Linked DNA regions of Arabidopsis thaliana. The protein of the gene in region 2 binds, or shares a complex with, the protein of the main gene of each other region. Each region holds a gene or a part of one and is shown on either strand. Other genes may lie near its edges.

Region 1 (4,154 bases), on a different chromosome or scaffold from region 2:
ATTTGTTTGTTTACTAGAATTACAGTTTTTTCAAACAGATAAATAATCATATTAATAATAACATTTGCTAAATTTAGTTAAAAGAATCATGGTGTTACTTTTTAAGTTTTACTGGTTTGCTTTCAAGTTTCAAGAATGATTGTATAGTACTTTCGGATGTTTGATCTTTAAAACTTGTTGGTACAGTTGGAATGCTTTATTGGAAATATCAAACTATCACCAACGCTAACATTTCTATTCTTTTTGAACTTCATCAAGAGCCAAAGCCCCTGATCGGCCTCACAAAAGACACCATTTTCTTTGGTCTCCGGCAACAGAACATGGATTGGAATCAATCCCTAATCAAACCGGGTCAATTTGGCTTAGTCAAGAAACGTCCCTCTTATGTAACAGCTGTTCCAGAACGGCAGAACATTCACGAACATATAAATGGGTGTCCACTAACAAATTCAAACACATAACCATGATCACTCTGTCCTTTTTTCCATTTTTTTAAATATTCAAGTAAACAACATGTAAATTATAACGAATTTAGGTCGTCTCAACATCATGACTCATTCACATGCGTTGACTTTTAACCCACTAAACATTTTTTATAGGACCCCTCTCTCTCTCTATAAATTCGACCCCCTTTGTTGATAGATCATACAGAGAACAACAAAGAAAGAAACCAAATAAGAAGAAAAAGGAGAAGAACATTCAAATGGCACCAAGAAGTTCTTTGATCCGCTTCGCCTTCATCTGCATTGTCTTGGCCGTGATGGTCATGACTGCTGAGTCGCACAACGGAACCCACCACCATGGTCCGGCTATGGCTCCAATGCCACCCATGGCTAAGGCTCCGTCTCCAAGTGCCGCCACTTTCTCCGCCTACCCTCAGCTCATCGCCACCGCATTGGTCGCTGCTATGTCTTTCGTCTTCTGATGAGATGTGTTGCCATTCATCTTCAGAATATGTTTTACTCTCTATGAGATTTTATTTTAATTTTCACATGTATTCCTTCTTTTTTTGTTAATTCTTCAAAGATTGTGATGTTGTGTTCCTATCATAATAAAACATTTATCTCTTGATGTTTTTTTTATTATCTTAATCATATTTTCCTCTTTTTCGAACCAAATCTTCTAATCAAGGCATTATAATGGCCCGTTTGAGAAAAGGTGGACTTTCTTTTTAAAATCAACTAATTCATCTTAAGGTTATAGAATAGATAAATATCCGAAGTAAATATATAAAATAAATTGGGTCAGCCTAAACAAAATAATGAAATGCAGGCCTTACGTGACAGTAATGGGTACGCCTCAACAAATAATGGTGTATTCACTATTCAGACGTTGGTGTCAAAATCAATGAGTGATATCCTTATTAGAAGAACGACAAGCTTTAAACTAGTTTCATGTGTAAAGTACGAAACAATAAACATCATGAAAACACTCGAAATATTGTAGTAAACTTGCCAACAAAACCATGAGTACAAGTGTACAACTCCAATGAATCAGATATATATGCAAGATGGAAAAAATCCCCAAACACCTTAAAATACAACAACATGTGACAATAACGAAGTGAACGACCATCTCGATAAATAGTTAACAAGACTCATTCTCATCCGTTGACTTTTCATCTATACACTTACCATTTTTTTTATACAATCTTTTTCTATCATGACTCTATCCTCAATAGCTACGTGCCCACATGGAGCCAAGGCTCATGCCTTTCGTCTTCTGATCAAATGTGTGTCATTGATCACACCATTCATCTTAGTTGTTAAGAAAATATCTGTAAATCATTTTTTTTTTCATTTTATAGTTGTATCACTTTATTATAGTCCACTCGGTTTTTGCATTTTTGTTATAGTCCACTAGTTGGGCCGTGTTATACAATAGCGAGCCTATCTCAACAAAAAACAAAGCCCAACAAGTATTTATTTTGCCAGTTTTGTAAGCAATTAATTGAATAGAGTAAGTAGAGACGGAGCAAAAACAAGAGAAGCGTTTGGATTCGACGTTTGCCTTATCCGTTCAGCTCATCTTCTTCTTCTTCTTCGTCACCTCTGAATTAGTTTCCCAGAATCCGAAATTCCTAGGAAGAGAACATAACAATGGCGCAGATGGTTGCGATGCCCGTAGCGCACTCGCTCTCACTCATTTGCAATTGGGCAAAATCCAATCCTCTCTCTCGCAACACTCTTGCCCTCCCAGCTTCAAACACTCCCAATGTAATCATTTCTCTTGGACTCTCTCTTGCGTATGATGTTGTAATTTATCGAGCTTGACTTCATGTTTTTTTATGTGTTACTTCATTCTTGTTCGTCAATTTTTGGGTTAGGGGTGGTTATAGAACACTCCATCAATTTTTGGGGGAATTTGTCTCTGTGTTTTTAAAGTTTTTTTTTTTTTTTGTAATGAAATGCAGAAGCAGAGTCTAAGCATCAGATGTGCTCGTGTTGGTGGAGTGGAGATTCCGGCTAATAAGAGAATTGAGTACTCTCTTCAGTACATTCATGGGATTGGTCGAACTAGGGCTCGTCAGATTCTTGTTGATCTTCAGATGGAGAACAAGATTACTAAAGACATGGCTGAGGAAGAACTCATCATTCTTCGTGATGAAGTCTCCAAGTACATGATTGAGGGTGATCTGGTAATACACTTTCCCTTACATTTACACACTTTAGGACATGAGTAATGTGCATCATAGTTTCAGTTTCTGTCAGTCCATTCTCGAGCAGTTTCTTGAAGATTGGAGAAGAACTTAGGCTGCTATCTATTTGGTGTTTTCATTGCTTTAGTTTGGGTTTCCTCTTGTTTTGATTTGGTTCTTAGGCCTTTGTGAATGAATTATTGATTTGTGTTGTGGATGTTGTGCAGAGGAGGTTCAATGCTCTTGCAATCAAGAGGTTGAAGGAGATCCAGTGTTACCGTGGGGTAAGGCACATCCAAGGGCTGCCATGTCGGGGACAGAGAACCAAGAACAACTGCAGGACTCTTAAAGGCAAGAAAATTGCTATTGCAGGGAAGAAGAAAGTTTCCAAGTAATCATCTTCATGATCTCCTTCTTCTTCTGTAATACTCTTTTTAGTTTGTCTAGTCATCTCTGTTTAAATGTGATTTGTAATTCCCAAACCTTTGTTCGAACTGAGCCCTTTCCAGTTTATCTTCGGCTTTTTAGCTATTATTATTCCGTATCTTCATCATTCATTATAAAGTTACAAAAGAAGTTGAAGATTTCAGCATTCAAGAATGATGACAAACCAAGAACAAACTTGAAAATTTGGTCGAACCAAAAATGGTTTATTCAGAATACGTACATATGAATACATAAGTAACCAAAAAATAAAATTTTATAGCTTTTGCCAAAAGACTCGATCTTGGATTGTCTCTAATCCTACCCAGAAAATCTTGCTATCACACAAAAAAAAGGAAGAAAATGAATAATAACAGGGTAAAAATTTTCAGTAAGAGAACTCATGGCCGCGGAGTGAAATGTATTTCTTGACCCAAATGGCAATATCTTCGGCGCAGGCCTGTGCCTGAGGAGTCTTGAGAAGCATATCAAGTGTAGCAAACTCATGAACTGCGTCTTTGTATTCTAAAACTGGAGAATCTACGTTTACCTTTCTAAGCTCTTCTGAATAAGCAATGGCTCGGTCTCTCATCCAGTCATGCTCAGCTACTACTGTAAGTGTTGGAGGCATTAGCTTCAGAGGTGGTCCACTGCGGTTATGGGCAAGTGGGTTTGCTGCCGGGTGGTCAAAGTCGAACTCTTTCTCTGGTAAGAAGAGTTTCCAGGCTAGAACAGAGACAGGCTTATCGTAGAAGTAAGAGTTTGCCAGCTTTATTTCGGACTGTGTTGGGTTGTTTCCAATGAAAAAGGGGTACATTAGAACCTGTGCAACAACTTTCACCGGTTCTAGAAGTTTCCCAGCTTCCACTGCTTTCCGAGCTACATAGTCTGCTATGTTCCCACCACAGCTCACCCCGAGAAGAACACATCTGTTTTAACATCATATGAAGCAACAGGTTGAGACACAGAAGTTGATGTGAGATTGCAATCAATGGAAGATAAGCTATCTTAGTTCATCTAACTAGTTGTCCAAAGAATCCTGACTTTGTACCAAGTTACTCCTAGATCAACATGAAACTATTCTTAAGATCTT
Region 2 (2,751 bases):
TAGGTCTAATTCCTATTACTTTGGCTGGATTATTCGTAACTGCTTATTTACAATACAGACGTGGTGATCAGTTGGACTTTTAATTAATTAACATCTCGTTTTTTTACTAACCTCCTTCTTGCTTTCCTATGCGGGAGGTCTAATTCAGACTGCTGCTCAGTAATTTGTGAACAGTGGAATTTTGATACAATCTATGAAATCACGCTCTGTAGGATTTGAACCTACGACATTGGGTTTTGGAGACCCACGTTCTACCGAACTGAACTAAGAGCGTTTTTCTTTTTTTTTTTTTCTAAAAAACGAAAAGGCTAGAAAGAGGGCATTCTTTAACCCGACTCGATTTTGTACGTATATACTATATCATACATAGTATATCATAAATTTCAGAATTAAATGTATGTCCGATAAAAAAAATTGATCAAAATAGATACCTCGTTACTGCTCTTCTGAGCAGTAATAGGTAGGGATGACAGGATTTGAACCCGTGACATTTTGTACCCAAAACAAACGCGCTACCAAGCTGCGCTACATCCCTTTCAATAGGTTTACAGTGTCATTGTAGAGAATTCCTGTCTTGTTTTCCACATCCTCCTTCTTTTTTATTGGTATATCAAATTCATTTCTTCTTTTTTTCTCATATCAGATAACAAAGATATAATTAAAAAATTTACTTTTTTTTTTTTTTTTATTCTCTCAATTTTACATAAATAGGCCTTTACGTTTTCAAATGGAATCGATAAGATCGTTCTAGTCGACAATATTAAAATTCTAATTTTGAAAGCGGGGGGACGGAAGTTACATATACAAATACAAGAACTTCTTAATTACATGTACATCTGTAATTATATATATTACTATATATAATGTAATACAATAAAGAAGAAAGAAGGAGGATTTCTAATGCGAGATCTAAAAACATATCTTTCCGTAGCACCGGTACTAAGTACTCTATGGTTCGGTTCGTTAGCAGGTTTATTAATAGAGATTAATCGTTTATTTCCAGATGCATTAACATTTCCCTTTTTTTCATTCTAGTTATTAACATCAGAAAGGGGTGAAAAATTTAGAGATACAATCAACAATCGGGGACTAACCCCCCCACCTTTTCTAATTAGTAGAATAAATTAGAAAAGGTGGGGGGGGGGGGGAAAGGTCATAAAAACGAGGGTTCAGGATCCAATGAAATTAGTAATAGAACGAAAAAAAGTGTTGCTAGGGAACCTATCAGATACTTAAAAAAACTACTGTACAAAGATTTTAAATATAGTTTTCACAAAATCATAAATCATTGTATTACTTATTTTTTTTATTTAATTACTAATAAATAAAATATTAATTGTAACGAAATATTTCAGAATTTTTTTTAGTTAACAGCTTCTATTTTTTTTGTTCTTGTTCTTTCTGGATCCTAAAATTAAAATAGAAGATTGAGGTGAATCATAAATCCAAAGGAGGTTTCATGGCCAAGGGTAAAGATGTTCGAGTAACAATTATTTTGGAATGTACCAGTTGTGTTCGAAATGATATTAAGAAAGAAGCCGCGGGAATTTCCAGATATATTACTCAAAAGAATCGGCATAACACCCCTAGTCGATTGGAATTGAGAAAATTCTGTCCCTATTGTTATAAACATACAATTCACGGGGAAATCAAGAAATAGATCAAATTGAGTGCTTGTATGTCAACTTTTATTTTAAGAACAGGAATAATGCTAGTATCTATATATTATTACATATATATAAATATAAACAAATAAATCAATAGAAAGAAATCTAATCCGATATTCTTAATTCTATATAGAAATTCTATCCTATATAGAAATAGAAATCGTTTTTATTTTGATCCGATCAAAATAGGATTTTAGAGATAAGGAATAAAAATAAAAATTATGAATAAATCTAAGCGACTTTTTACTAAATCCAAGCGATCTTTTCGTAGGCGTTTGCCCCCGATCCAATCGGGGGATCGAATTGATTATAGAAACATGAGTTTAATTAGTCGATTTATTAGTGAACAAGGAAAAATATTATCTAGACGGGTGAATAGAGTGACTTTAAAACAACAACGATTAATCACTATTGCTATAAAACAAGCTCGTATTTTATCTTTGTTACCTTTTCTTAATAATCAGAAACAATTTGAAAGAAGTGAGTCGACTCCTAGAACTACTAGTCTTAGAACCAGAAAAAAATAGACTTATTTTTCAATTGAATAACAATTCCAATCTGAAGGAATTAAAAAAGAGATTAATGTTTTGTTCAAAAAATCCAATCAAGAATAAAAATTTGATTGTTACGTCTGTGTCTATTATAAAAAAAAAAAGAAAAGAATCGTCGAAAAGCATAACTCGTTTTTTCGAAACTATATACTCTCGTTTTGTTTTGACGACTTTTTTTTTAATACTAATTTCTACTCTACCTTCCCCGAGCTCATTCTCCTTAGAACTCTATTTCAAATATTTTCGTGGATTTCTTCCAATCCCCTTATTTTTTTATGTCATTCGAAATTGTATAAAGACAACTCCTATTTAATAGAGCTATTTGTGCAAGTATTTTCCGATTAAGAAGTAATTGCTTCTTGTATAGATTGTGTATGAATTCATTATAACTATAGAATACCCCCATTTCGTGAATTACGGCATTTATTCGAGTGATCCATAAACGGCGAAAATCTCTTTTTCTTTTACCCCTATCCCGATGAGCCGAAACTAAAGCTCTTATTCTCTGTTGAGTCATAGTTCGTGTAAGCCGT
Region 3 (3,886 bases), on a different chromosome or scaffold from region 2:
GTGAAAGGTGGGAGAGGTGTGTCAAGTGTAATGAGAATGGATTGATTCGTTGTCCCGTGTGTTTTGTTAATTAAGAACATTATTAGTTTACACAAGCAAATAGAGGTGTGTCAAATATACTTTGTCCCGTTTGTTTTGTTATATGTATGTGACACGTTTGATTTTGTGGAATTGAAAATGATTTGAAACTATGCTAGGATTTTCATAAAATGTTAAAGCATGAACGTGAACCATTATAATGCTAAGCTTGCAAGGTCTCTCACTCGTATATGTTGATGGTTTTGATCAATTACGTAAAGGAGTTCAACAATCTCACTAATTTAAGTTTGGATCGTCAGAAGGTAAAAGCTGGCAAACAAAGTCACTTCTGCCTGAATACTTTACAAATTTGTTCTTTGTTGCTATTTTGTTTGATTGTTATGCATCCGTTGAGGATTTTGTGCTATGAAACAGAGTAATATGAATTCCATCATTATAGTAACTATGGCAAGTTAGTGTTAGTTAAAATCTTTTAATGAAAATGCATACAAGTATGCTTCTCAAACTTAGCTTTAAGAGTTTCTCACAGTTACATAAGAAAGCAGAGCAATGCACAAAAAAAGATACAAAAAAGATAGATTTACTTTTGTTCTTACAAAGAAACAAAAAAAGAATCTGACATTTTTCTCACATACACAATGTTCATGGTCTTCAGTTGTACTTCCTCTTCTTTATCTTGAAGGAAGATGATCGGATAATGTCATCGTCGGCAGTGAGAACGGTCTCGAGTGGAACTATTGATTCGGGTTTGGTGAAGTAAGTGAAGAGAAGGTAGATTCCATCCAAGTAAGTGTTGGTTTCTCCAGCTTTGTTCTTCTTTCTTATGCTGTAAGCCAACGGAATCACTCCTCTGTTAAACACTTCCACATACATTCCACCTCCTGCCACAAGCAACTGCCACACACACCAAAAAGAAATCCCAGCAACATAATGAATCTTTCAGAGTCTGCACCAACTAAAAACTTCCACTACTCCGAACATAAATTTCAGAATTCCTCATTAGATTAAACATGTGATATAGCGTAAAAGAACCCACGCGTAAACCACAAATGATAACTGTGTATTAGCTCGTTTCGAGCATCAAAGGACATTTCAAGAATTGAGTTAAAATGTTATGGTAAAACATGACTAAAAAACTAAGAAGTGCACTAAGGGCTCCTATCTTGTTTCAAATGGTTGAGACTTAAAGAATTCACAGCCCACAGAAGGATGAGATTTGCTCTTAGAAAGTTAAACTCTTTACTTCAATTTTAACAAGGAGTCGTCACAAACATTCAATTGATAGCTGCAAGTTACACAACTCTACATTGAAACCATTTTCTCTTGCTTTGTCATTAACGTGTAAGAACAGACACAAGATACAACTTTTAGTGATCTCTTACTCAACTTCTAATTGAATCCTAAAATCTCTTTCTCTCTCAAATAATCAAATTTCCCTCTGACATGAAACAGAAAACAGGTAAAGTTGGAGACTTTTACTTACCTCTTCGTATTTCTGGGTAAGACCAAGCCGTTCATCTTCAGACATGTCTGGTCTCAAAACCGCCATTGTTTCGTACTGCCTGAGCCCAGGTGGGCACTGAGGTTCCGGTTTGTCTTCAAGGGCAGTTGAGACTCCCGACCCGGAAGGAGAAGTCGGGTCATCATCCGACCCGAATCCACCTTCAAAGAAAGTTCCAGAGAAGTCAAGAGCCTGAGATTTCACCACAAATTGAGAGCCATCTCTCTTCTGTATCGAGGCACACATAGGTTTCGACTTGGAAATGAATGGCCTGAGAGAGTGGGAGAATGATAGCAGCGGCTGCGAAGATACATTAGGCAGAGGGCAAATTGTGGAATTTGATACACACAGCGAAGACGCCATTGTTGTGAGATTGTGAAAGCAAAGAGGAGATGAGAGAGTAAAATTTGGATAAGAGATGATGATGGTACACATTAGTCAGAATTCTATTGTACACCATGGGCCTTTTTAGGTTATTGGGCCTGTTAAAGGCCCGTTTTGTAAAGACAATTATTTCTATCTGTATTATTTGTCTTCGCGATCAAGCCAGTTCTCGGAGCAATCAAATCTATAAGAAAAGAATCGTCGCCGGTGAAGAGAAAAAACCATAGAAGCGATGGATCCGCAGCTAACTGAAGTTTCACAGCAGTTCGAGAGATTCAAGGCGGCGTTTGCGAGGAAGGATTACAATACCTGTAGCGATCTGTTGTCTCAGCTTAAGGTCTACATCTCTCTCTCTTCTTTGAACCCTAATTTGTTTCAATTCACTTCTTTGCATATCTGCTTATTGAACCAACTTTGGGAAAATTGATGGGTTATGTCGCGAGAGTTTAAATCTATGAGAGCTTTGATTTATTGAAGTGAGAATTTTTAGCATATAAGTGTGTTAAGGATCTTTTAGAAGAGCTAAGTGCTATGAAATTTTTAACTTTCTACTTTAAGGGATTGTTGGGATTGGTTTAGATTTACAATTTACTGGTGCGAGTCTCTGATGTCGCTGGGGTTTTGTTGTGTTCTTCAGGTTCTTCTTACCAAATTCACAAGTCTTCCTCCATTGTTCGAGAATTCACCTAATGCAGCCAAGGAATTGACTATTGCAAGTAAGTTTCTCTTTTTCATTATTGGTTTTACATGAGCTATTTGCTAGTAAGTTTAGAGTTTTGCTTTCAATTGCATGGAGTGTTTTGGATTTGTCTATTCTCATGAGTTATTTGTTAACTATACTTAAATACCACTGAAGAGTGTCTGAGGGATTGTACTGCTTTAGTTTGTCTGTCTATCCCTATATGTATACATTAATCGTTGAATGCTGCATTGGTTTGGATTGAGTTATTGGTAATTTTTGTTCTTATTGATTATCCGTTTCTAAAACTTTGACAATTGGTGTATTCTAGGGGACATTTATGAGCATGCTGTTGTTCTAAGCGTCAAAACCGAGGATCAAGATGCTTTTGAGAGAGATTTCTTCCAGCTGAAACCTTACTATGTGGATGCCAGGTAAAGAAAGAACCAACTGTCTGAACATTATCTTTTTCATTTTCTTTTGGTCTAACATATCTTCTTTTCCTCTGCACCAGGAACCGTATTCCTCAGTCTCCACAGGAGAATCTTATCCTGGGTCTTAACCTTCTGAGGCTGCTGGTACAAAATAGAATTGCTGAATTCCACACCGAGCTTGAATTACTTTCATCAGCTACACTAGAGGATCCTTGCATCAAGCATGCAGTAGAGCTTGAGCAATCCTTCATGGAGGGTGCCTATAACCGTGTGTTGAGTGCTAGACAGACCGCGCCTGATGCAACTTACGTCTATTTCATGGATCTCTTGGCAAAGACCATAAGGTAGCATCAATGAGTCTGTCCTTCTCTGAATTAGTTCAGTCTTATGTCTTCTCGCGTGTTATCTCACCTTTTTATTGTTATGACTGAATTCACAGAGATGAAATAGCTGGATGCAGCGAGAAAGCTTATGATTATGTCTCTATCAGCGATGCCCGGCAGATGTTGTTGTTCTCTTCTGATCAAGAACTCTTAACCTATGTCACAGATGTAAGAGAAAAAACATTTTGTGCAAAGTTTAGAATCTTTTTTAGTTTCATGAACCATTGACGCGATTTAGGTTTTATCAAATCTTATAGGAGCATCCTGAGTGGGAAGTGAAGGAAGGGTTTGTTGTCTTCCAGAAAGCCAAAGAAACTGCACCGTGCAAAGAGATTCCGTCTCTGCAACTCATCAACCAGACTCTAAGCTACGCCAGAGAGCTGGAGCGTATCGTGTAAGATTCGACTTTTCTCACTGCTTGTCTCTTCTCTTCTGTTATGTTCCTGGAAATCTCTGGGTCAGAAAA

The links.
Region 1: rps18 (region 2) and EMB3137 share a complex: the UniProt entries of both Arabidopsis thaliana proteins name them as parts of the 30S ribosomal subunit.
Region 3: rps18 (region 2) and AT1G64510 share a complex: the UniProt entries of both Arabidopsis thaliana proteins name them as parts of the 30S ribosomal subunit.

Annotation. Positions count from the first base shown.
Region 1 is NC_003076.8:4,616,718-4,620,871, reverse strand, and holds EMB3137 (Ribosomal protein S13/S18 family), read left to right. Parts: upstream 1-1,890; 5' UTR 1,891-2,099; coding exon 2,100-2,216; intron 2,217-2,413; coding exon 2,414-2,638; coding exon of another isoform or gene 2,639-2,683; exon of another isoform or gene 2,684-2,865; coding exon 2,866-3,033; 3' UTR 3,034-3,449; downstream 3,450-4,154. Other genes in the region: AT5G14330 (uncharacterized protein), read left to right, coding at 321-433, 652-925; CXE16 (carboxyesterase 16), read right to left, coding at 3,450-3,990. UniProt on the Arabidopsis thaliana protein: Located at the top of the head of the 30S subunit, it contacts several helices of the 16S rRNA.
Region 2 is NC_000932.1:66,029-68,779, forward strand, and holds rps18 (ribosomal protein S18), read left to right. Parts: upstream 1-1,888; coding exon 1,889-2,194; downstream 2,195-2,751. Other genes in the region: petG (cytochrome b6/f complex subunit V), read left to right, coding at 1-83; psaJ (photosystem I subunit IX), read left to right, coding at 901-1,035; rpl33 (ribosomal protein L33), read left to right, coding at 1,460-1,660; rpl20 (ribosomal protein L20), read right to left, coding at 2,484-2,751.
Region 3 is NC_003070.9:23,954,303-23,958,188, forward strand, and holds AT1G64510 (Translation elongation factor EF1B/ribosomal protein S6 family protein), read right to left. Parts: upstream 2,003-3,886; 5' UTR 1,976-2,002; coding exon 1,523-1,975; intron 934-1,522; coding exon 691-933; 3' UTR 501-690; downstream 1-500. Other genes in the region: AT1G64500 (Glutaredoxin family protein), read left to right, coding at 1-74; RPN12a (regulatory particle non-ATPase 12A), read left to right, coding at 2,157-2,261, 2,562-2,640, 2,935-3,037, 3,118-3,381, 3,477-3,588, 3,678-3,818. UniProt on the Arabidopsis thaliana protein: Binds together with bS18 to 16S ribosomal RNA.